4 linked regions of the Caenorhabditis elegans genome follow. The protein of the gene in region 4 purifies or fractionates together with the protein of the main gene of each other region. This does not show direct contact. Each region holds a gene or a part of one and is shown on either strand. Other genes may lie near its edges. The genes, in order: eri-5, eri-1, rrf-3 and gtsf-1.

Evidence for each region.
Region 1: the proteins of gtsf-1 (region 4) and eri-5 purify together in Caenorhabditis elegans (affinity purification with mass spectrometry, with the first as the bait; one study listed by BioGRID). This does not show direct contact.
Region 2: the proteins of gtsf-1 (region 4) and eri-1 purify together in Caenorhabditis elegans (affinity purification with mass spectrometry; 2 studies listed by BioGRID). This does not show direct contact.
Region 3: the proteins of gtsf-1 (region 4) and rrf-3 purify together in Caenorhabditis elegans (affinity purification with western blotting; one study listed by BioGRID). This does not show direct contact.

What each region holds. Positions count from the first base shown.
Region 1 is NC_003282.8:2,389,172-2,396,793, forward strand, and holds eri-5 (Tudor domain-containing protein), read left to right. Parts: upstream 1-1,649; coding exon 1,650-2,078; intron 2,079-2,850; coding exon 2,851-3,088; intron 3,089-3,893; coding exon 3,894-4,187; intron 4,188-4,378; coding exon 4,379-4,490; intron 4,491-5,302; exon of another isoform or gene 5,303-5,365; intron 5,366-5,512; exon of another isoform or gene 5,513-5,575; intron 5,576-5,925; coding exon 5,926-6,263; intron 6,264-6,682; coding exon 6,683-6,867; 3' UTR 6,868-7,085; downstream 7,086-7,622. Other genes in the region: trap-3 (Translocon-associated protein subunit gamma), read left to right, coding at 288-434, 491-588, 662-953; Y38F2AR.10 (Major sperm protein), read right to left, coding at 7,086-7,196.
Region 2 is NC_003282.8:415,099-421,783, reverse strand, and holds eri-1 (3'-5' exonuclease eri-1), read left to right. Parts: upstream 1-1,825; 5' UTR 1,826-1,832; coding exon 1,833-2,167; intron 2,168-2,384; coding exon 2,385-2,505; intron 2,506-2,559; coding exon 2,560-2,661; intron 2,662-3,192; coding exon 3,193-3,265; intron 3,266-3,308; coding exon 3,309-3,432; intron 3,433-3,497; coding exon 3,498-3,633; intron 3,634-3,681; coding exon 3,682-3,879; intron 3,880-4,445; coding exon 4,446-4,613; coding exon of another isoform or gene 4,614-4,703; exon of another isoform or gene 4,704-4,916; intron 4,917-4,953; coding exon 4,954-5,063; intron 5,064-5,119; coding exon 5,120-5,228; intron 5,229-5,598; coding exon 5,599-5,689; intron 5,690-5,825; coding exon 5,826-6,007; 3' UTR 6,008-6,149; downstream 6,150-6,685. Other genes in the region: Phosphatidylinositol 3,4,5-trisphosphate 3-phosphatase and dual-specificity protein phosphatase daf-18, read left to right, coding at 1-220, 788-1,186, 1,239-1,358; T07A9.12 (uncharacterized protein), read right to left, coding at 6,280-6,466.
Region 3 is NC_003280.10:8,160,586-8,168,484, reverse strand, and holds the start of rrf-3 (RNA-directed RNA polymerase), read right to left. Parts: upstream 6,021-7,899; 5' UTR 5,928-6,020; coding exon 5,860-5,927; intron 5,805-5,859; coding exon 5,195-5,804; intron 5,149-5,194; coding exon 4,913-5,148; intron 4,866-4,912; coding exon 4,752-4,865; intron 4,702-4,751; coding exon 4,344-4,701; intron 4,299-4,343; coding exon 3,479-4,298; intron 3,432-3,478; coding exon 3,160-3,431; intron 3,115-3,159; coding exon 2,873-3,114; intron 2,831-2,872; coding exon 2,619-2,830; intron 2,573-2,618; coding exon 1,885-2,572; intron 1,837-1,884; coding exon 1,113-1,836; intron 1,069-1,112; coding exon 611-1,068; intron 566-610; coding exon 460-565; intron 409-459; coding exon 217-408; intron 171-216; coding exon 1-170. Other genes in the region: emb-27 (Cell division cycle protein 16 homolog), read left to right, coding at 6,316-6,401, 6,448-6,552, 6,597-7,101, 7,148-7,547, 7,591-7,899.
Region 4 is NC_003282.8:16,864,100-16,867,019, forward strand, and holds gtsf-1 (CHHC U11-48K-type domain-containing protein), read left to right. Parts: upstream 1-1,740; coding exon 1,741-1,824; intron 1,825-1,873; coding exon 1,874-1,959; intron 1,960-2,021; coding exon 2,022-2,361; 3' UTR 2,362-2,405; downstream 2,406-2,920. Other genes in the region: ING family member lsy-13, read left to right, coding at 644-970, 1,029-1,226.

The sequences.
Region 1 (7,622 bases), about 14 Mb from region 4:
GGTCGGTACGCAAACACCGTGACGCACAGATGCACACGAAGAGAGACTCGACGGAGACACGTTGTAGTTTTTGGAGAGTGGCGGGGTTTTCGTCTCAATTTATATTTATTTTTGACGATTTTTTCGGCGGAAATGTTAATAAATATTAATTTTGTTTGAATTTTCATTGATAATTAGGCATTTTCTTCCTAAAATAGTGGAAAAATACCCCCGAAAATACCGTTTTACTTCCCACTAAACATTTAAATGCATTTTAAAGCATTTTCCTTTCAGAAAATCGAAAAACCATGGGCAAGCTCACCAAGGAAGAGGAACTTCTGCTCTCGAGCTACTCGGCGACCAGCTCCACCAAGGGAAACCTCTTCTTCTACCTCAACGCGTTGATCATCTCCATCGCCCCGCTCTACCTCTTCTACGGAGTTCACCAGATGGAGGTTAGCCGGAAATTCTATCGGCTAGGAAAACCTTGTGAAACGCATTAAATTTTCAGATCCAAGACTCGCTTGTCGTGTGGGGACTCTCTGCCGTCGGCACTGCCTACCTCCTGTCCCTGGCCTGCAAAAACCAGAAGTGCCTTCTCAAGCATCAGTGAGGGTTTTTTTGAATTTTTAAAAATCGGAAATCGATTTTTCACCCCAATAAAAACCCCCAAAATTTTCAGAATCGTGATGAAGCGCGGATCAGCTGTGGAACGCGAGATCAGCGGACAATATGCTGCTGACAAGAAAATGACTGTTAAGGAGAAGGAGGAGCGCGCGCTTTTCCGCAAAAACGAGGTCGCCGACACCGAATCCACCTACTTGTCGGTCTTCTACACAAACTCGCTCTACTTGACCATCATGCTCGTCTCGGCGTTCTTCTTGCTCGCCAACGTGGCTCCAGTCTTCAACTTGCTCATCTCCACCATCGGATCCGCCGGACTCGTCGCCTTCCTCTCCACCGCTAAGAACTAAGCGATCTTTACAAACGGGACCCCCCTTTTTTTTCTCAAAAAGTTTCATGTATTTATCATAAAAAACGAAAGTTTAATTTATTTTTCCCCACCACCCACCCGCAGATTTTTTGTATAATAAATCCCAAAAACTAAAAATGTTTATTTTTTTCTTTTTTCCCAAGAATTTCAGGTTTATAATCCAGTCCAAGCTGCTTTTTTAATATGATTCTGCTCGTCCAAGAGAACTACACAGCTGTTGGGGCAACTGCGCTCCACTGAACAATTATTTTAGCGCGATTTTCTGATTTTTAACATTAAGAACAGCATTTTTCGATAAAACGCCATATTTCATACCATTTTCAGCGATTATAATTAATATTAAACGATTAAAATCGATTTTCGCCAGCGAAAAACACCAAAAATTAAATTTTCACCTCAAGACCAGGTGCTGCAAATGCGCTCTAGTGATAATTAGTTGAAAAACACGGGATTCTGTTAAAATATATGATTGTCTAGTTACAAAATTTGTGAAAAATGAAAAAAAAATTAATTTACAAAGTTTTTCTCATTAGAGCGCGTTTGAGGCATGCGGTCGGCGAGAAACTTGAATTTTAATTGATTTTTAGTGATTTTTAAGTAACAAAGTGTTTAAAAAAAGAAGAAAAATTCAAATTTCCCATGCAAGAAATTTTCCATCAAAAAATCGGATTTTCAGATGCTCTCGGAGGAGCCCTACGAAACGTATCACCCGGAATTTCCAGATCCAGAGATTCGACGAATAGCTCTAAAAAGCTCGGCAGTCGTCGAGCTGCTCCGAATCGAATCACCATCTTCATTTTTCTGCCGTCCCGTCGATCATGTCACCGATGATCAATTATTGATTCGCGAACCGTACCGCCTAACAACTCGAATTATCGATTTTTCGGCGGGAAACATGGCGATGGCTCCGCTCCGGCCACGTGTATTCGCTCGATGTTTAATTTTGAAAAATTTGGAGCTTATCGAGGCCGCCCGGATTTTTTTCATCGATTCTGCGGTCACTGCTAATGTTTCGTGGAAATGTCTGTTTCAAATTGATGAAAATCTCAAATTTCACCCATGGCAGGCGATGCATTGCACTTTGGGACGTTTGGTGCACCTTTCGGTCTGATTTTTAGCACTTTTTAACCCAGAAATTCAAATTTCCCGCCGATCGCATGTTGTAAATGCGCTCTATAGAGCAAAAATGTGTGCATTTTTCCTGATGAAAATCCACGGATTTCTGGCTGGCTTACCTCATAAATTATTGAAATGGAAGAGTTATTGCCGAACTAGGCCATTTTGGCTCGGCCATATATGGGGTAGATTTACGGCGCGTTGCGTGTCGCGTCGCGGTTCGATTTTAGTTATAAAACTAATGCGTTTGTCCGTGTGGAGTACACGGCTTTCCCACGCGTTGTCCGGCAGGCGATTGTCAATGGAGCGCGAAAAATTCGAGGAAGAAGACCAGAACCCCGTGAGAAATTCAAATTTCCCGCCGTTGCAAATGCGCTCCATGGCAAAAATGTGCATTTTTCCTGATGAAAATCGTAAAAAATTGACTGGAAAACTATAAAATAGAGATTTCCATCTGAAAATTCAAATTTTCAAACGAAATATTGAAAGTGCGCTCCATTGAGAAAAACCGGACATTTGAATTTTTGAGAGGAAATTGGGGTTTTTGATGGTTTTTTAACCTAAAAATGCTATTTTTCAGCTAAAATTGACCTGAAAAATACGAAAAAATCCAACAATAAACGGAGATTTTTCATTGGAGCGCACTTGCAACACGCAATCTGAATTTGAATTGCCCGCCAAAAATGTTTTTAAACAATTTACAAAAAAAAAATCGATTTTTTGAAAATTATTGATTTTTCAAAAATTATCGATTTTTTCAGGACTCATGGACAGACACCCAGTGCACCGAATTTCGAAATATTGTCTCTAAATTTGCAAAATTTCAAATTACCGCCAACCAGTGTGACGTGGATTTTCGCTCGGACCGCCCGTCTCTTCTCGTGAACCTGTACGGATTGCCAAATGGAACAGAAATCGATAAAAAAGTGGCGATCGAGGAGATTTGCGCGGTTTCTATGCAAAATGTTATGGTCTCTCAATTTCCCACTAATTTTATGGGTATAATTTTTGAATTTTTGGAAAAAAAAAATTTCGCGAAAATTTCAAAAACCCGAAAAACCCGAACAAAGTTTATATAACATTCGAATTCAGCACGCCGAGAGCTTTGATTTAAGTATAATCATGACTATGGGTTACGAGTAATTGGGTCCCACCACGAAAATCCCCGGGGTTACTGTAGTTTTTCGTGGTGGGACCCGGAAAATTTTCAAAATCAATGGAATCTGGTCATGATTATACTTAAATGGAAGCATTCAAACAGCTGAATTTGAATTTCATAGTTTTGTTTTAAAAAAATGAAAAATTTCCGAAAAATTTGGGTCTCGCCACGAAACCCCGAAATTTTTGGTTTTTCCGCTATTTTTTTGGTTTAAAACATGGAATGTGTTTAAAATGTCATAAAAAACTAATTTTTCTCAAACATTATCTAAAAAAAAATCGAAATTTGGATTAGTTTTTCATAGAAAATGTCAAAAAAGGAATAAAAAATTCAAAAATTTTTGTAAAAATCAAATTCACTACATTTCTAGCTTCAATTTAAGTATAATAATGACCAATTTTGCTAGAATTTGAACAAAAAATCGGGTCCCACCGCGAAAACTACAGTACCCCTGAGGTTTTCGTGGCGGGACCCAACTTTTTTAAAGATTTAGCAAAAAAGGTCATGATTATATTCAAATTGAAGCTCTCAGTGAGACACAATCAGTCGAAATATGAATTTTCAGAAAAAAATTAATTTTGAAAAATTTTGGTTAAAAAAAAAAAAATAAAAACATTTTTTTTTTTTTTGAAAATTTTTTTCCAGTCAATCCCAAGCTCGAGGAGCTCGACAAAGAGCAAGACCACCTCGACGTGATTCTTCTCGAAGAGTTCCGCCGGGACCTCCCAGCCGACTGGGCTCACGAGCCGCCTGCCGATTACCGTGAAGACGACGCCGACTGGGATATACTGCAGTGCCACGTGGCAGAATGGAATGACACGGCACTCGAGCAATTCCGAAGAGCCGATGGAAGCTTTTGGGCGATGCTCGAGCCGAGTTGCACCGTATCACCCTGGGAAATGCACGTTACACCGATTTTGGCACCGGAAAAGATGTCTGGTACGGTGGAAATTGAACAATTTTGCTCGAAATTCTGCTTAAACTCGCGAAATAAAGCGAAAAATTGAGTAAAATGGCGAAAATTGACCCAGAAATTTGAAATTTCCCGCCGACCGCATGTTGTGCAAGCGCGCTCCAATGAGAAAAGGGATAGCGGAGCATCGTACTGAGCACAATTCGAATTTTTTCAGATAATGAACATTGGATTTTCGAGCAGCTCGTAAAAAACTCGGAAAATCAGCAAAAAATCGACGATTTCTACTCGAACCTCAAGAATCAGCGGCCGCTAGAGATGGAAGAAATGTTAGAAAATTTCGAATTTTCAGTGAAAAATGTGAAAAATATGCGGAAATCGATTAAAACCTGAAAAATTATGCTAAAAAATCGATAAGTTCGCCGAAAATTTGAACTTGGCGCTGTTTTATCGATGGAGCGCATTTTTAACGGCGAAAGATTGAATTTTCCGCCAAAAATCGATGTTTTGAAGTTTTTCTCAATAGAGCGCACTTTCAACAGCGAGAAATTTGAATTTTCCACCAAAAATCGATTTTTAAAAGTTTTTCTCAATAGAGCGCACTTTCAACAGCGAAAAAATTGAATTTTCCACCAAAAATCGATTTTTTAAAGTTTTTCTCAATAGAGCGCACTTTCAACAGCGAAAAAATTGAATTTTCCACCAAAAATCGATTTTTTAAAGTTGTTCTCAATAGAGCGCATTTTCTACAGCGAAAAATTTGATTTTTCGTCAAAAATCGATGTTTTTGCTTTTTTCCCAATAGAGCGCATTTTCAACAGCGAAAAAATTGAATTTTCTACCAAAAATCGATTTTTTAAAGTTTTTCTCAATAGAGCGCATTTTCTACAGCGAAAAATTTGAATTTTCGCCAAAAATCGATTTTTTAAAGTTTTTCTCAATAGAGCGCACTTTCAACAGTGAAAAATTGAATTTTCCGCTAAAAATCGATGTTTTTGCTTTTTTCTCAATAGAGCGCATTTTCAACAGCGAAAAATTTGAATTTTCCGCAAAAAATCGATGTTTTGAAGTTTTTCTCAATAGAGCGCATTTTCACCAGCGAAAAATTTGAATTTTTCGCCAAAAATCGATTTTTTGAAGTTTTTCTCAATAGAGCGCATTTTCAACAGCGAAAAAATTGAATTTTTCGCCAAAAATCGATTTTTTGAAGTTTTTCTCAACAGAGCGCGATTACACCAGCGAAAAATTTGAATTTTCCGCAAAAAATCGATGTTTTGAAGTTTTTCTCAATAGAGCGCATTTTCACCAGCGAAAAATTTGAATTTTTCGCCAAAAATCGATTTTTTGAAGTTTTTCTCAATAGAGCGCATTTTCAACAGCGAAAAAATTGAATTTTTCGCCAAAAATCGATTTTTTGAAGTTTTTCTCAACAGAGCGCGATTACACCAGCGAAAAATTTGAATTTTCCGCAAAAAATCGATGTTTTGAAGTTTTTCTCAATAGAGCGCATTTTCACCAGCGAAAAATTTGAATTTTTCGCCAAAAATCGATTTTTTGAAGTTTTTCTCAATAGAGCGCATTTTCAACAGCGAAAAAATTGAATTTTCCGCCAAAAATCGATTTTTTGAAGTTTTTCTCAATAGAGCGCATTTTCAACAGCGAAAAAATTGAATTTTCCGCCAAAAATCGATTTTTTGAAGTTTTTCTCAATAGAGCGCATTTTCACCAGCGAAAAACCGATTTTTCTATTTAAATTTTTTCCAGAAAATTCGCCCTCCAAACCGGCCGAACCTACGTGATGGCAACCATCAAAAATCGCCAAAAATCGTCGGCTCAATGGCTCCGTTGCGAGATTATCGATTTTTTGCCGAACGCCAACGTGGCTCTTCGCTACGTGGATCTGGGAACACGTGGCATCCTGAAGCTCAAAAATTTGCACCGAATGCACATTGAGCACACAAAAATCGCGCCGGCTTGCATTGAAATTGGCCGATTTCTCGACGACGATTTATCGATGGCCGACAGCGAAATGGAGTGGAATACACATTTTTGGCGTGAAATTGTACCCTATGACGTGCCGATCGTTGTCGGACCCGATATGGGTGAGAAATTTACGGATTTCTCTCTGGAAAAGCGACAAAAATGCAATTTTTGCATGTTCCTGTGCGCTCCATTGATAATTTTACCCGAAATCACAGAATTTTACCAAAACTTCACTATTTAACTCAAAAATTCAAATTTCGCGCCGAGAACACCTGAAATTTTGGTTTTTTAACTGAAAAATTCGAAATTTTCATGGGATTTCGCCGATTTTGCAAAATTTCAAATTTCCCGCGCCGGCGGCCTCGTGTCCCAAATGCGCTCCATTGACAAAAATTCTCCTGCGGAACAATTCGATCGATTTTCAGGGGAAAATGCGCTCCATAGCTAATTCGCGCGAATTTTCGTCAAAAATCGATAATTCCCATGTGCGGAATATATCGGAGCATCGTAAAAATCAATAATTTTCCAATCATTTCAGAATTCCTGGAAACCGGCAAACTGCAATTCTCGCAGATTCGGGTCGCCGGCGACGAAGACGACGAAAATTTGCTCGATAAAATCCCGTCGCCGTCGCCGTTTTTCACTGAACGATCCGACGATTTACGTACCCAGAAAGAGGATGATGATGATGGAAATGTTAGCGACGATAAGGATAGCGGATGATTTTATTGATTTTTTCGCATTTCTCCCGTGAAAAATTGCAAAAAAAAAATCGATAATCCACTTGCCCGAGAGGAGTACAAAATCGATAACATAATTTTTTCCTGTTTTTTGTCATGTATTTTATAATATCGATCTCCTCCTCGTTTTAACGATCTGTTTGTTTTACGTGAACGTGTTAAATTATCGATTTTTTACGATAAAAATCAATAAATCAATATTTATTCCAATGGAACAAGCAGACACGTGTATTTTCCAGCGATTAGCGTAGTTTTCATATCTTCCGAAAGTGGGTCATCGGATTGTTGTGGCTGGATTACGAATGTTGGGATCTGGAAATTATCGATTTTTTGGTAGAAAATAAATACTTTTAGTGAAAATTTTGAAAATTTTGACCAGGCGTAGGTTTAGGCTTGGGCTTAGGCTGAGTCAGGCTTAGGGCTTAGGCTTGGTGTCAGTGACGAGCGTGAGCTCTCGACAACCAACTCGACAACCAAACCGGGATTAAGTTGAAATACTTCCCTTGTTAGGAACAAACCCAATTTGAATAAATCATAGGAAATCCCCCCAATCCGACAAGCCTAAGGGCCCGAAAAACATACTAGGATTCGGGCCCTTAGGCTTGTCGGATTGGGGATTTCCTATGATTTATTCAAATTGGGTTTGTTCCTAAGTCTAAATAACCCTTTTTCTTTTCTTTTGCGCTCCAAGCGCAAGGAAAAACCTTCTTGTAGACTTTTTAAGAGGGTTTCTTATAT
Region 2 (6,685 bases), about 16 Mb from region 4:
GCCGGCAACTGAAGACGAACTTCCTCCTGCGAGGCTACCGGATAATGTGCGAAGATTTCCAGTCGTCGGCGTTGATTTCGAAAATCCGGAAGAAGAATCGTGTGAACACAAAACCGTAGAGTCAATAGCTGGTTTTGAACCACTCGAACATCTATTCCATGAATCATACCATCCAAATACGGCCGGTAACATGCTGCGTCAGGATTATCACACTGATTCGGTGAATTTGGTTTGAAATTTTAAATTTTGGAATTGAAAGTGAACTTTTTATATTATATGCGGGACCCCTCAATCTACTCACCTTCCTAGGTGTAATTTTTCTAATAATTATTCCTATTGCTATAGTTTCTAATTATATTTCTATATTATCAATATTATAATGTTTCCTCGCTGAAAACCTGCGTATTCATTCGTTGCCAGTGGTAAGTTATATTAATTTTCATTCAGATTTTTAGAGAAATATTTTGAGTATTTAGCTATCGTTATTAAAATAATGATTTTCGTATTGTTCTTAACATTCTGTTAGGTGACTATTTTCTTGTATCGTTGAAGTCCATGCTTCAAAAACAACGACTTTTTTGGCTTAAATACGCTTTCAACGTCGAAAATATTGCCTTAACATCACTTTGGGCAAATTTCTTATTTTGAATTCGATATGCTCGTTTTATTAGCTTCCAGAAAATATAACATTCGACCCATAACTCTCTGATCACCAAAAATAAGAACTCCTAGTAAGATCAAAAACTATCGGGAAATGTTGAATGTATTTTCAATATTTAACTTTCAGGAAGTGAAAATAGCTGAACAAGAGGCAAAAGCCTTCGTTGACCAGTTGCTTAATGGACAAGGTGTATTACAAGAGTTTATGAAGCAATTCAAAGTACCATCGGACAATTCCTTTGCTGATTATGTAACCGGACAGGCCGAAGTTTTTAAAGCACAGATTGCGTTACTGGAGCAGTCGGAGGATTTTCAACGAGTTCAAGCGAATGCAGAGGAAGTCGATCTTGAACACACTCTTGGTGAAGCGTTTGAGCGATTCGGGCACGTTGTAGAAGAATCGAATGGTTCTTCTAAAAATCCAAAAGCCCTGAAAACTCGAGAACAAATGGTGAAAGAAACTGGCAAAGACACTCAGAAGACCCGCAATCATGTGCTTCTACATTTGGAAGCTAATCATCGTGTGGTGAGTAATCTTTTTTATTTTTTATTATGTGATTAAAATGTTAATTTTTCAGCAAATCGAGCGTCGTGAAACGTGCCCGGAGCTACATCCAGAGGATAAAATCCCAAGAATTGCTCATTTTTCCGAAAACAGCTTCTCGGATTCGAATTTTGATCAAGCTATTTATTTGTAAACCTAAAACAAAACTTTTAGAAGATTTTCTTCTTACTGACCCTCCAATTTTCAGATAATTTCAATGTTTTAAGTTTTCTCTTCAAAGTATCATTCACTTTCTGTATAGTGTTTTGTTTTTTAACAAACTATTGTTCGATTATTTTGTATATTCATATTATAGCTCTCAACTTCCCGATTTTCCACGTATATATGTATATTTTGCCGGGTGAAAAATAGCAATTCCCTATGAATGTATCCCCTTCCATCTGTTTTCTTACTCAGAAATTGTAATTCACATTGCGGGTCATCACTAATCCTATGGGCTTTAACACAATTCTCCCATAAATTAATTGTACTTACCAATTTTTTGTTTAATTATTTAGATTTGTAACATTGAAATTGGTGATAATTCCAAAGAAAAATTATATTCTCCGATACATAGAATCTAGGCGCATTCGAATTTACATTGTTTTTCTAAAATTTCAGTTAAAAAATGAGCGCAGATGAGCCGTCTCCAGAAGACGAAAAATATCTGGAAAGTCTACGAGATTTGCTGAAAATCAGCCAAGAATTCGATGCAAGTAACGCAAAACAGAATGACGAACCAGAAAAAACAGCAGTTGAAGTGGAATCGGCTGAAACCAGAACCGACGAATCTGAAAAATCAATCGATATTCCACGTGAACAGCAACTTTTACCCTCCGAACGTGTTGAGCCTTTAAAATCAATGGTGGAACCAGAATACGTGAAAAAAGTGATAAGGCAAATGGATACAATGACTGCTGAACAGCTAAAACAAGCGTTGATGAAGATTAAAGTGTCCACAGGGTAAAATTATGCTAAATTCATTCAAACTTCTTATTTTCCTAACAGAACCCAATTTCGTACATTTAAGATATAGCTTTGCTTCATTTTTGATAGTTTTGTTAAAAAGAAACAGCATTTTTTGAATCATTTTGCGTTAAATATAGTCATCCGTAAAAGAAATAATGTAATTTTCTTACTAAAATTTCGAAATTAACTTAAATTATAACTCTAATTTCAGCGGAAACAAGAAAACTCTTCGAAAACGGGTTGCACAATATTATCGAAAGGAAAATGCATTATTGAATCGAAAAATGGAGCCGAATGCCGATAAAACTGCACGCTTTTTTGACTATTTAATTGTATGATTTTCAGAATTTCTGGAAAAGAAATACTTTAGTTATTAATTATTTCAGGCAATTGATTTCGAGTGTACGTGCGTCGAGATTATATACGATTACCCACACGAAATCATCGAATTACCGGCAGTTTTGATCGACGTTCGGGAAATGAAAATTGTAGGATTTTTTCATCTTTGAAAATGGAATATGTCGAATTACGCATGTCGTGTACTCCCCGCGGACAAGGATTGAACAGTTCTCAGTTGAAATTCTTGATTTTGGATTTTTCCTCTGGGGTTTCGGCTCGAATTTTATTTTTTTTTTTCGTGTTTTCCCGCAAGAAAATCATTTTTTCCGGGAAAAGGTGACAAACGTTTCGTCATCCTATCGAAATCTGGAATATAAAAATGTATTCAACAAAAAACGTTTCAAATACAACATTTTTCGTCTTTTTTGGGTTTCTTATTTAGCTATAAAATTTGTTTCGCTTGTGAAGAAAATATTGGAAAAAAATAGAAAAATCCTTCTCCCATTTTTCAATTTAAGGCAGATGGAAGTTCTTTGGTGTATTATCAAGTTATAAAAACTGACTAAACTGAAAGCTTTTTTTGTTTTGTTTTGTTTATTTATTTTAGGAATATAAATAAAAAACGAAAAATATATAACTTTATAATATCCATCGTCAAAATAAGCATATTTAATTTCCAGATCAGCGAGTTTCGAACCTATGTCCGACCTGTCAGAAATCCGAAGCTCAGCGAATTTTGTATGCAGTTTACCAGTAAGACACTAATGTCATTTTTAAAATGTAAACCCTGTTGTAGAAATTGCCCAAGAAACAGTCGATGCTGCTCCATATTTCCGAGAGGCTCTTCAACGGCTGTACACATGGATGCGAAAATTCAATCTCGGACAGAAAAATTCCAGATTCGCATTTGTTACTGATGGGTAAGGAATCGAAGACGATTTTTTGTTCACTAAAACTTCAAAGTTGTGCATAACGAACTATTCAGACCTCACGATATGTGGAAATTCATGCAATTTCAATGCCTTTTATCGAATATTCGAATGCCCCATATGTTCCGAAGTTTTATCAACATCAAAAAGACATTCAAAGAGAAATTCAATGGACTTATCAAGGGAAATGGAGTAAGTTTTTAAGGTTCAAATTTTAATTAAAACCTCAATTCTCTTCAGAAATCCGGAATTGAAAACATGTTAGAACGTCTGGATCTGTCGTTTGTTGGAAATAAACATAGTGGATTGGATGATGCAACGAATATTGCAGCGATTGCGATTCAAATGATGAAGTTGAAAATTGAGTTGAGAATTAATCAGAAATGCTCGTATAAGGAGAATCAACGGAGTGCTGCGCGAAAGGATGAAGAGCGAGAGGTTCGAAACAGACTACGTCGTTTTCACCCGATGGGTTGACTCTCCCATTCGGTCTCGGGTGTCAACAAGTGATTCCATGTTTTGAAAAAAGCTCTTCCCTCAACCCTTAAAATTTCGATATGAAATTGTTTCAGTGCATTTTTCACTAATTTGGAGACCTGTTGAATTGCTCTAAATGTTTTTTTGCAAAGTTCAATGTTTTTCAGAACGGTTATAAGTAGGTGAACACTCTGGGAGATTTTTGGACTTTTTTTTGTTGTGAAAATCTGAACATTTTTGGATCAAGTGGAGTGAAGAAACTTTCAGATTTTTTTCAAAAAATTACAAATTTTTGAAAAATCTCCCAGAGTGTTCACCTACTTCTAAACGTTCTGAAAAAACATTAAAGTTTGAAAAAAACGCATTTGGAGCAATTCTACAGGCCTCCAAAGTAGTGAAAACAGGCACTGAAACAATTCCAGATCGAAATGAAGTCTGACGATAAAATGGAAACCTTTCCTTCTTGTTAGGAAAATTAGGAAATAGTTCATCACAAATTTCAATTAAAAAGTTATTAAATTTTTCAGTTAGAAGACGCTGCAAACGTGGATCTTACATCAGTCGATATCTCTCGTCGTGATTTTCAACTTTGGATGCGTCGTTTACCACTGAAACTGTCCTCTGTGACACGACGAGAGTTCATAAATGAAGAGTATTTGGATTGTGATTCATGTGATGATTTGACTGATGATAAGGTGAAACATCTACATTCTTGTGATATTTATGAAATTTTCGATGAAAAAACTTCAGCTAGTTTTACAGATTCAAAGTGTTTGATTTGCTAGGCGAATTTTGGCAAAAGTATACTTATTGATGTAAACATTTTCCCTATCAATTTTGTGTCTTAGCCAACGAATTTCCAAATTTTATTTCAAAAGTAAAATTCCATGTCAAATTTTACATTTTTAGTTTAAAAATTATGTTTCTTCCAAGCCCACATTTTTCATTGAAACTGGTATAGTTGTATTTGATTCGCCCCGAATAAATAATTTTCTGTTTCCATGTTTTATACACACAAAAACTCAAAATTTTCAGAACGACGAGGCGGCATTCCAGGAAAAAATGGCAATTCGAGAGTATTTGGAGAATAAACAGACGGAAGATTTCGCGAAAATTGCTGCTGAGCGGGGAATTTTTAAAATTGGGTAATGGACTTTGGATGGAATTTTGAACAAAAAAATCTAGTTTCTGGCGTTTTCAGTGAAATAAAATCATATCAAACTGCAAGACCGATAATAGAGGATGATGACGTGGATGTTGAAAGTGAAGAGGAAGATTATGGAACTGAATTTGAAATGTTGGAAGTTGTGGTGAGAATGTTGAGAAAAAACACTTCAAAAATATCAATTTTGTTTTTAAAAATCAACGCCACGATTCGATGAATCGAAATTCAAAAATTCTCCGAAAAAGCGGAAAACTCTGCTTTTGAAATCAGAAATTTGCAATGTTTTCCGGGATAATCGAAAATTTCTTTCAAAAAAAAATTAATGTAGGTATAAATTTCAGATTCATCGTGGTGTGGATTTTAAAAATCCGCGAGAGAAAAAAATTCTGAATAACTAAGCTTTTCGATTTTCGTATAATACAAAACCGAACTTTTATTTTGTTTTCAAATTTTAATAAAATTCGAGCAAAAAACCAAATCGATTTGGAGTTTTAATAATTAATTTTTTCGTTCAGGAAAGAATGCCTCCAGTTAGTTCTACGTTACACACTGAAGTCGATTTAGATGCTGTATGGGAACGAGATGGTGGAAGTGATTCTGAAAGAGGTACGTCGAGGGAATTGCAATATGGAAATTGCATTAGAAAAAGCTTGAAATTCTGTTTGATTAAAATGTCAATTCAATTGCTCCCAAAGTTTAAATTATTGAATAGCACTTAAAAAACATAATTGTGAAAATTCAGAAAACCTCTCAAATGCTCCAAGTCTCCACGAGTTTCCATCGTCATCCACATCATCACCACATGCCACGTCAGAACATGTGACGTCATCATCACCACTTCATATCGACGATGACGTGGACCGCGTGTTGAATGCGCCGCCCAAAAATTCGTTGGCATCGTCTTCAAATCGATCTAGTTTCTAGATTTTCTTGTATACGAATTTAATTATTTTTGCAGGTTTTGTAGTATTCGAGTATTTCATTTTCATTTTTGATCTCAATTTTTTTTCGCTCCAATCTTTTTTCTCCTTTAAATCGCGTTTATATGAAATTTGTCACATGTTTTATTTAGGTTATACACGGATGACGTTTCAGATGGTATTTATTTGTATTTCTTTTGGAAACCCGTTGAAAATAGGAAAAAACAACAATAATGTACAGAAAATGATAGGAAATGAGAAGAATGAGCAGTTAAACTAGTTATTTGTTGCCCGACACATTTGAAATCCCCACGAAGCCAGGAGAAGCCACATTGGCAAAAAAACCATCCCATACGTATTCCGATTTGCAACTTCTGATTTCTCCAACTCTCCACTGATTTTTTCAACGATGAAGTATATGAAGAGCGTGATGCATGTGAGACGGAATATGTTGAGAATTACTCTGAAAAAAAAATATATATTGCATGTTCAATTTTGAATTTTCTGTTTTCACAGATGATTCGCATTTGGTCTGTCGCAAGTAGGAACACGTAATTTGCGTTCAACGGGCTATAATTTCGCAGTTATGTATTCCTACGGACTGGTCTCGCCACGATCTTTCCGGCGGCCGCTTCATTTTAATAAGAGTTTCAGAGTTGTAAAACCATTTTTGGAAAGACCA
Region 3 (7,899 bases), on a different chromosome or scaffold from region 4:
GGCACGACGTTGTTGGCAATCGCGTCCCTAATTGTCTCTCCACTGAGAAGTAAAAGTCGAGCGAGGCGTTGTCGTGCAAGAACCGTTCCAACTGATGTAACATAGATCATATCAGACTTCCGAGTTCCAGTGATTTCGCGAGGAATTATTTCTTTGACACCAGACCAATCCTGAAAGTTTTTCACTAGAAACGAAAAGTATTTTCGAACCACTTACCTTCAAAGATTGCAATATTCTACTCCTACTGATCGGATAATCATCGTTGTAGTTTCTCGAAGAGAACAATGACTCGTTAACTAGTATTGGATCCTTGCTTTCTGTAATCTGATCCACCGCATCCTCATCGTCCAAATGAAGCGCATCAAACCGTCCAGACACAGCGATGGAATGAAATGTACGATATGCAATCTGGAATATGTTTTTTGTTGATAGATCTGGAATATTAAAGATCGAGCTTACAAGATGTAAAGGCATCCATTGTGCACTTTTAGTAAGTATTGGCTCAACAATATCTTTTTCGTAGAAAACTCGAAGACTTATGCTTTCAGCTGATGCGAAAGATTGACTGAAATATTGAAAAATTTTTCCAACACTAGATTTTTAAATTTACCTTGCCAAATATCTGAGAAATTCGAGCATCATTGTTCCCATATCGAAATTTCTCAATATCGGAGCTTCATCTGCATCTTCTTTCTTCGAAATCCATTGCTGAAACATTGTTGTTGGCATCAGAAGACTTTTTTCATAATCAATAGTGGGATTTCCCAGGAGATCTCCGAGCCCTAGACGAATCAAAAGTCTTCCCAGCTGCCAAATCGACAAAACACTTGATGGGAGCACATTTTCTCGTTCAAGCCAAACTTTCAGGATGAACAACATTTTTATAATCTGATCTCCATAAAAATATACGTATCGTCTCAGGAAAAGCGCATCTTTGTGAGATTCAATCAAATCTTTCAATTTGAGAAACTTGTCAAACTGCCTTTCAATGGAGTTTTCGATCTCCTCTTCTAAACGAGCAGCAATTGGATATTTGCCTCGTAAAACTGCGTCATTTTTATCGAGCATCTGCAACAAAAAATTAATATATTTATTTCATAATTTTAACTTACTAATTGTCGCCTCAAATCACACAATGCATCCCAAGCAACCCAGGGAAGACTCTGTCCAATGCATCTTCCAGCCTTATTTATCTTTGGCTGCACATATGCCACGAAATACCATTGCCGAATCTTTTCATGCATTGCCTTCGTACATTTCAACCGAGTGTTCTTTCCATCATTCTCAATGTTGATTTCTTCTCCACCAAACTCTTCAAAGAATTTTGCACGAAATACAGCATACAATTTTTCATAACGAAGCTCAACGACCTTATCAGTGTGATAAAATGAATAGTCGTCTCTCTCCATTCCAGCTAATCTCTTGATACTTGCAGCATGTCCAGACACAACTGAAGCTTCGTCTTCAATTCCATATTCATCCAAAAGTTGTTGCATTCGATCAACGTATTCATCGCGAAGAGTCAATGTTTGTACAAGTTTTATTTCATTTCCGAAGAAAACATCAACGTCTTCTGGACAAATCAGTTTATCATATTCTCTTTCGAATACACTCCCGCGTGTTTCAAATTCTTCCAAAACTTCTTCAACTTTTCGAGCTTTTCGGTGCAATTGTCCATTTAATCGGGTACTGTAGTACATCGGTTTTCCACCTGACATCATATAATCAGGTGTCATTTCGCATTGCTCGAAACTTGACAATGGTTCCGCGGGAACTCCACTTTTCGGAAAATCTACAGCTACTGCACATTTGAGCGCGATGGCGTGACAATTTTCGCTGAAAAATAAGATATTGGCTTAACATGGATAATTTCAAGGAACATACTGGAAAAGTCCGTGAAGATCAGCATAAGCCAAATGAGCGTGACTCATTCTTCCAATTGAATCCTGTTGAAGGTATCGAAGGAAGAATTCAACCATATCATCTGTAGTAGGTTCTTTGTCTTCTTCTGCAGCTGAACTACTCGGAAAAACCATTGCTTCTTCATTATAATCGAGTAGCATTTCTTGATCCCATATTATAGAATACTCATCTCCATCCAAATCTGAACCTGCCATTTCATCGGGATGTGGTCGTGGGCCATGTTGTGGAAATACTACAACATCGACTAAATGAGCTAATGCTGGTTGCCAAACTGCGTCGAAAACTCGAACATCTCCAGGAACGTGACACGGATTTTTGGTAATCAAAACTTTGCCTGTTTTCAATATTGGACGGTTACTGGTTTGTCGGATACTTGGTGAATACTGGATGAAAACCTGTCCGTACTGTAAAAGTCCAGTCTCATCGACAACACCGTACATTGATCTTCCCAAACTTGGAGGCAAGAAAATTTTAGCTTTAGAAATGTGATGGATGATGTTGTAGCGATAAATAGAGAATAGCATATCTCGTATCAATGGATCTACACTCAATTCGAACCCGGCTCGTTTGCTTGCTGCGTTCCAGTCGATTGCCAAGTTTGTGCGATTGACTAGCTCTTCTGCTGCTTGATTTTCATTTATGAGCATATCTAAAATTAGGAGATTATGATTTGTAACCATACAGTAACTACATACTACTCAGAGAACATAGTTCTCTTTCCAAGTAATAATGAACACGATTTGTGATCCTTCTGTGAGAGCTTGCAGATTGTTTTTCCGACACTTGATCCAGGATTGTAATGAATGGACGGTTGAGACAAACTGGAGATGGCATAGCGTATTTTACTACTTCGAGGTATTCATCTTGCAGCTCTCCACCACCTTCACCAAACTTTTGCTGACTTTTTCTGAAAATTGATCATATAATTTGTTTGATAGATCATCACTACCTGAAGATAACTTTAGGCATATTTATAATATCATCGATTGTTGGATCAATAACTAGAATTCCTTTGAAACCTTTAAATCGCACTTGGAAACAAGCTGGTACTTCCTTCAATTGGAGAATCTTAGATATATGTGTTGCCAGTTTGATAGAAATTCGACCACAACCATCAGAAAAACAATATTTGTTCTCTACACCACCTTCAATGTCAGGTTCAACGATCCAGTGATGTCGTTCAAGACGTACCTGAATATTTTCGACTATATGAATATTTTTAACACTAGAATATACCGTTGGTTGTGCTTGTGTAAAGCATTGTCCCATTCGACTCATCATCTTTGGAACACTAATCGCATCTCGGAAATCTCCCATCCATACTCTAATATCTTCTACAGTTCCTGTGACTTCACCAGTTAATGCATTGACTCGAGGAGCGTATAAATAACATCCTTGATCACGCATTTGAGAATTACTCCATCCTAGAAAACTGTAGACACGATCAGCAACTTGAATTCCATTTTTGAGAGTCAAATAAATTCCTTCGGTGACAATATTCGACATGTCTGGAAACTTAGATAATATATTTAAAAATATTTAAAGAATTTCTTACGATCTATATTATTGATGGAAAAGTCGCGAATAGCGAGCCGGCCCAGATTGTCATCTCGGAACACACAACGAAGAGCATAATCAGGTCCAAATCTTCTAACAACTCGATTTACCATCATTACTTCTGGAGCCATTAGCAGTATTCGAGATGGTGTTACAATAACTTTAGCCACTGAAACACAATTCTTCGGCAATGGCTTTGCAAGGCCTACATCTTGAAGGCTTTCTCCTTTCAGAAGTCTTTCGTATTGAATCTTTCTTGATTGATACATTGTTGTGAACGCGGTAACTACATCGATTTGACGACGTTCATCAAATGCATTCAAAAGTTGTTCGAGAGTCTCTTCTGTGGCTTGAGAGCATTCTTTCATTCCCCTACGAACTAATTTCAGAAAGAGCGGCTCGTGTACTAATTCCATTGGCTTTTTCGTGTCATCAACATCATCGTCATCATCTTCATCATTGTCATTGTCTGAACTTGGAATATTTTCATCAGTTGCGTCGAAAAGTTGGTCCGTAAATACACTTCCGCGTGTGATTAGAGCCTGGAGAGCATAATTCGCTCGGAAAGATCCCAGAGAATGGAAAGCCGGGGATGGTGCAAGTTTTCGGCGAATTGAAAAAATGGAGCCGAACATCACTTTTGCTTTGCTTCGAGCAGAAAGTCTAGTAACAATATCCATCAATTGTGTAGACGATACCGAATCGTTATCATCATCTTTTCTCATTGTCAACCGGATCCAGGAGCTTTGCGAGAAAGCTTCAGAAGTACAACCGACACCTCGGCCCTCAGCATCGCCAGGCCAACTCAATACTCTTGTCTGAAAATTTACAAGTTTTTAAAAGTTATTTGCATACCATATCACCCATTCTGTGCACGTTTCCATATTGAGAACCTTCGACTTTGATGGGTGAAAAATCGTATTTTTCGGAATTCCTTCCCAGAGATGCGGTGGATTTTTCATTTGTATATAAATACTGTTCGTAGTTTCATGAGACATGTCGACAACAATTCGAACAAACAAATTATAATATAGATTAAGACGAAATCCGGCATGATCCAAACCATCATCAGCGAATTCGGCTAATCGAACTCCGAAATATACCACTGCCAGTCTTTTGTCATGCTCAAATCTCGCATACGAGAGGTATTTATTGCTTCCTGCCACTTTGAATGAACTGTTTTCACGGGATGCATCTGCATTATGGTGTGACTGAAGCTTTCTTAAAAACAAAAATCTGATTAGAAATTCTGTAGAATATGTGCAACTTACACACTACAAACTGTGTTTTCTTGACTGATGAAATCTCCTCTAACAAGGAAAAGTCCTGAATTAGGGCAGTTTCCAATCGCAATCGCAGAAATATTTATATCCATGTGTTGGGGTCTAAATTATAACTTGAGTATATAAAAAGCGGATGAGTATTCTATTACGTTATTTTTGTGAAAAGCGTATGCATTTTCGGGACTTCCAAAAATACTTGATCATGGAGCATTCCAGTTATTCTAGATGTGAAACTTGATGCGAACTCGGAGAACAATTCATTTTCATCTTCTACTTCACCGTTTGGCGTCAAAACTAAATGAGCATCGATGACGTATGATTTATCTTCGTACGCAGCTCGTGGCACCATCCCCACCTTGATCCAGTTTACCTCGTCAACTTTAGACTGAAATTAAATTGTTTCAAATACGGCCAATTAAAAAATCGCTTACCAATTTCAAGTGTGTTTTCAAAACATCTTTTATATTTTCCATGTGTGCTCGGCAATATCCAAAGCAATCATTATTCATGCTGCCAATGAGCTTAGCATCGAAATTCAGCTCAATCGCCTGTTTTTTACTAAACTGTCTCGTCTTCGCAACTGTTTCCGATTCTTCTGCAGCGGCCCATAACATCCGCACGAGTTTTTCTTGTTCTTCGATATTTACACCACCTCTGTGCTTCGTTTTCTCATAAAGAATGTGAGTTGATGGGAGAGAGTGCCGTTTTAGAACAGAACAGTCGACTGGTTTTGAAGTAGAAGGCCTTTGTGACTGTAGCAGGTAATCACGAAGATATCCACGATTCACTGGATACGAAAAATTGTTTAAATGATTTCCTGGAAAAGCCGACGATGAAGAGTGAACAGGCTGTTCTTGTACGTCAACTTCCGATTTAGATTTTGAATTTCGATCCATCCGAAACGTTGTCAATAGCATCTTGTTTGAATGCCCAATTGTTAAGGTGTTCACTGGAGTGCATTCTGTTTTTCGATTTGGTAAAGTTCCAGACGAAAAATTCGATCTACCACGTGGAAATGTTGATTGACTCTGAGGAACTCCTCTGGAAAAAAACATTGTTTCATTTGACTACCGTTTGCTCACCGAATTTCAATTACCTTGGATGCTTCGGCCTAACAGAAGTTGTAGCATCATCGCTAGAGTCATCATTATCAAACGGGAGCATTTTGTGAAAGACTTTTTGAAAATGGCATTTATTTTACGAAAAAAATGAGAAACAATTTTATTCAAAAATTTGATGATGTATGTTCGCTCCATTGACAATTAGCAACGAGACTCCGCAGTTACGGCTAAAATTTAAATTTGATCAAGCATTAAATCCTTTTTATTTTGTTTTTAAGCGCCTAGGCGCGCCTTTATGTTATTTAGTTAAAGTAGCTGTAACTACTCCGTGTAAGCTGTAAAATTATAATCTAAAAATAAGACTATAATCTCAACACTTTTTCACAACAGTTCCATTGCAATTAACGTCATTATTGAATTTCTATTTTACAATTCTTGTTGCTTAACTTAAGTTCTCTACTTACTAAACAAATATACGAAGCCTTTACAGCATGAGCGCGATCTCGCCTGATACAAAAAGTTTTGCGATTCCGACATTGGCTGATGAAGGTTCCTCAAGCAAGCCAGCATCATCTTTGTGAGTTTAATAAATAACATTTCTTTTTCAAACTACAATTTTTCAGAGATTTGCCGAAACACGAGTCTATTCGTTTCAAGCCGATTAAAACACTTGCAAGTAGAATTGATGGATCGGAGTATTATGACGAGGCGAGCATGGAGAAAGTGATGTCAGTTTGAGACCAGCATATATATTAATATGTTATATTTTTAGGGAAATGCTTGAAATCGGCAGAACCGATGAAGCTGTAGCTTACGCGGATACATTATACTCTAATATAATTGATGATGAACAGCAAGATATTGTCACCATCGCTGAATACGTAAAAATTCTCGTCGTTCTCCGTCAATGGCGGCGTATTAGCCATATTATTGCTCGTGGGAACTATCATCAGATTCACATTGTTTTTGCTTATTATGCCGCTACCGCACTTTTCCAACGGAAATTATACGAAGATGTAGCTGAATTATCGGTCGGTCATCTTCTTCCAAGTAATGGCCAAATTGGACCTCTTCCTGTTCGAACACTTTCACAAGTGACGGGGAGATATGTCGAGGAAGAAAGAATGAAGTACTCATTTGCAAATATGGCCGAATTGGATAATAGCTCTAAAAAGCTCAGAATGGTTCCAGCTCTTATGATAACCATAGCAGAAAGTTTTTTGAAATTGATGAATCGTGATGCTGCAATGATTTGTATTAATTACGCGCTGAGTCTTGTAAGTCATCTTTTATACATGATTTGACCGTGTTTTATTATTTCAGGATAATACAACTCTCCATGTCGAACGATTAATGGCAAAATACAATCTGGTTGAGCCTGCGATGTGGGAGAAGTACAGAAAAGTCAGAAATGAACAGCTGAAGTTACACGAAGGAAATCATGATCCACGAATTCTTATGGAACGTGCTCAACGTGCCTACGAGATGGGTCGATTTCGAGAAACAAAAAAAATCACTGACGAGCTATTTGATCTATTTGGACCACATCCTGAGTGCATTATTCTTCGTATTCACTGCCTAACAATGTTAAAGGATTCTCGATCTCTGCTTGAATTAGGTCATCAACTAGTTAGTGATGATCCTCATATTCCACTTCCATGGTATTGTGTTGCTATGTATTATTATAGTATTGGAGCAAACTCAAGAGCTCGAAATTTCATCAGTATGTTTCCCATTTCATTGAGGTTTAAATAGAGCTTCTTTAGGTAAATGCACGATGATGGATTCGACGTTTGCTGAAGGATGGGTGGCTTTTGGTCATATTCTTCACTATGAAGTTGAACACGAACAGTCCATGAGTTGCTATTACAGAGCGTCGAAACTTGTGGATAAAAGTTCTGAACCGTTCTTGTACACTTCTCTTCAGTACAGTACGCATAGTCAGAAGCTGAGCAAGAAGTTCATGGGAGAAGCAGTTGCTCGGGCACCGAATGACCCTCTGATTCGTCACGAAGAAGCTTGTGTAGCCTATACTGCAAAAAGTTACGCGGAAGCCGATATTTTATTCAGAACTG
Region 4 (2,920 bases):
CTCCTAATTTAACAATTTTCAGAAGAAAATGGCGAAAGTTTGAAAATTGCGGTTTATAGGTGAAAAAATCATGAAAATCGCGGTTTTTAGATGAAAAAATTATAAAAATTTGGATTTTTAGGTGAAAATATCATAAAAATCGCGATTTTTAGGCGAAAAATCGAAATTTTTTTGATTTTTTCACCTAAAAAACCCAATTTTTATAATTTTTTTCACCTAAAAATCCAAATTTTTATGATTTTTCACCTAAAAATCGCAATGTTTGTGATTTTTTCACCTAAAAATCGCAATTTTTATTATTTTTTCATCTAAAAATTCCAATTTTTATAATTTTTCAGCTAGAAATCACAATTTTTGTGATTTTTTCACCTAAAAATACAAATTTTTATGATTTTTTCACTTAAAAATCGCAATTTTTGTGATTTTTTTATCTAAAAATCCAAATTTTTATGATTTTCTCACCTAAAAAACCCAATTTTTATGCTTTTTCCCCTAAAAATTCCAGTTTTTATAATTTTTCAGCTAGAAATCACAATTTTCATGATTTTTTCACCTAAAAATCGCAATTTTTGTGATTTTTCACCTATAAATCCAAATTTTTATGATTTTTTCACCTAAAAAATGCGAATTTATCAATTTTCAGAAGAAAATGGCGAAAGTTTCCGAATATTCCGACCAAAAAATAGAGATTGCGAGCGGTTTGAAGGTTCTTCTGAAGGATGTCTACGGGAAATTCATGGAAGAAGAGCAAAAGTTCATTGAAAACCTGAATAAGATTCCAAAAGCACCGGAAACTCCGCCAAGCAGTTCTCCGTCAGTGCGAAGTCATCGTAAGAAGAAGCTTTCCGAGGGAGATGATGATGCTCCGTCGTCGGTGGATGAGAAGAAGCGCGGTCGGAAGAAAAAGCCAGAATCCGAGAAAGCAGTGGCCGCCGCCGAGCCACCGAAAATGTACTGCTGGTGTCAACTGGTAAGGGCTCCGTGAGCTTCCGCCGCCGCTTAATATCGCCAAATTGGGATAATTTCAGGATAAAAACGACACAATGATCGAATGCGAGAATCCGGGCTGCAAGTACGGATGGTTCCACTTCACATGCATCGGAATGATCACTGCTCCAGCCGGCGACTGGTATTGCACCAATGAGTGCCGTGCACAGGGTCTCGCGGCGGTTGCAGAGGCTCCGCAGAAGGCTCCACAACGAAAGGGATTGAAGAAGAAGAAGTGAATAATTGGTTTTTTTTCTTTGATTTGCCGCTTGTGTACCTATTTTATTTGAAAAAAAATCATCCGATGATCACAAAATTGTATTGGTTTGATCTCCCATTTTGCTTTATTATTCTATGATAAACTGAAACTTGTTTGCATATAAATTTCTGTTTAAAAAATTATTTTTTCTGACTCTCACAACGGTTCTGATGAATTTTATTCAGATTTTGAACTGAAAATTAACGATTTATTGATTAAACTTGGATTTTTGTTGGGTTTTTCCTTTAAAATTGCTGGATTTTCAATTTTTTCGGTGAAATCGCTGAAATAAATACATTTTTTCGAGCCGCTCCGCACGCCGATGCGTCGCGGTCAAGGCTTTTTTCCATGCCCACTCCTTGCAAAACCCCGTGCGGCACAATTGCGTGTAGATTTACGAAGCCCCGCCCAAGAATTTTTCCTCGATTTCATCCAATTTTTTTGGCGATTTTATCCAATTTTTCATCGAATTTATTGATTTTTCGAAATTTTAGATGGCGTCGGGAGAATCGGAGGCCCCTGGGACTTCAAAAAATGATCGATTTTCGATAACATGCCCTTACAATTCGGATCACAAGGTTGGAATTGATATATTTTTAATTTAAAATTAAAAATTTTATATTTCAGGTGTCAATGGAGGAGTTCAACACGCACTTGTGGAAGTGTCGCACGGAAAAATTGCATTTTTACCCGCATTCGTTGAAATTGAAGAGGTTTTTTTTTTGCTCAATTAATTTTCCAATTTTTCTATAATAATTATCATTATTTTTTTTAGATGCTCCTACAACATGCGTCACTTCCTTCCCGAAGAAGAGCTCCAATTCCACGAGATCTTCTGCAAACGTCAATCCGCCGATCTTCGACGCCAATTGTCACTGGAGCCGCTGGAGCTGAACGTGGCGGAGCACCTGGCGGCACAGAAGCTTCGGAAAGAGTACGAGAAGGACGAGGAGTCGCTAGATGGATCAGATGACTCGGATGAAGACGAGGAGGAGAAGAATCTGTCGGTGACGTCGGAAATCGAGAAATCGGATGTGGAAGAGGTGGAGATGATGCTCGAGACGATCAATCGGCTTGCTTACTTGGAAATGAAGAATGATAATTTAATTTTGTGATTTTATTTTTAAAAAAGTGGAACAAGTAAAATGAGAGAAGCATTTTTTTTTCAATTTTTGTGCTAAAACTATGGTACCGGGTCTCGAAACGAATTTTGAAAAAGCCACCAAAAAACCACGGATTTCTGGCTTCCCTCATAAATTGAAATGGAAGAGTTTGCCGAACTAGGCCATTTTGGCTCGGCAATATCTGGGGTAGATTTACGGCGCGTTGCGTGTCGCGTCGCGGCTCGGTTTTAGTGTCCATGTGGAGTACACGACTTTCCCACGCGTTGTCCGACAGGCGATTGTCAATGGAGCGCGAAAAATTCAATGAGAGGAAGGCCAGAACCCCGTGAAAAACTGGAAAAAGCCGATAAAAATTGAATTTTTTGGCGCGAAAATCGGAAAAGCACCCGGGAGGCGTCGGGACATCATCTATAACTATAACTTTTAACTTTTCTATAACGTAAATTCTATAGAAAAGTTAAACTTTAAAAAAAGTCAGAAACCCATGAAAATTATAAACAATCCCCACGTGGTCGCTGGCTGTCCTTTTTGCATAATTTTGAAGCAAACG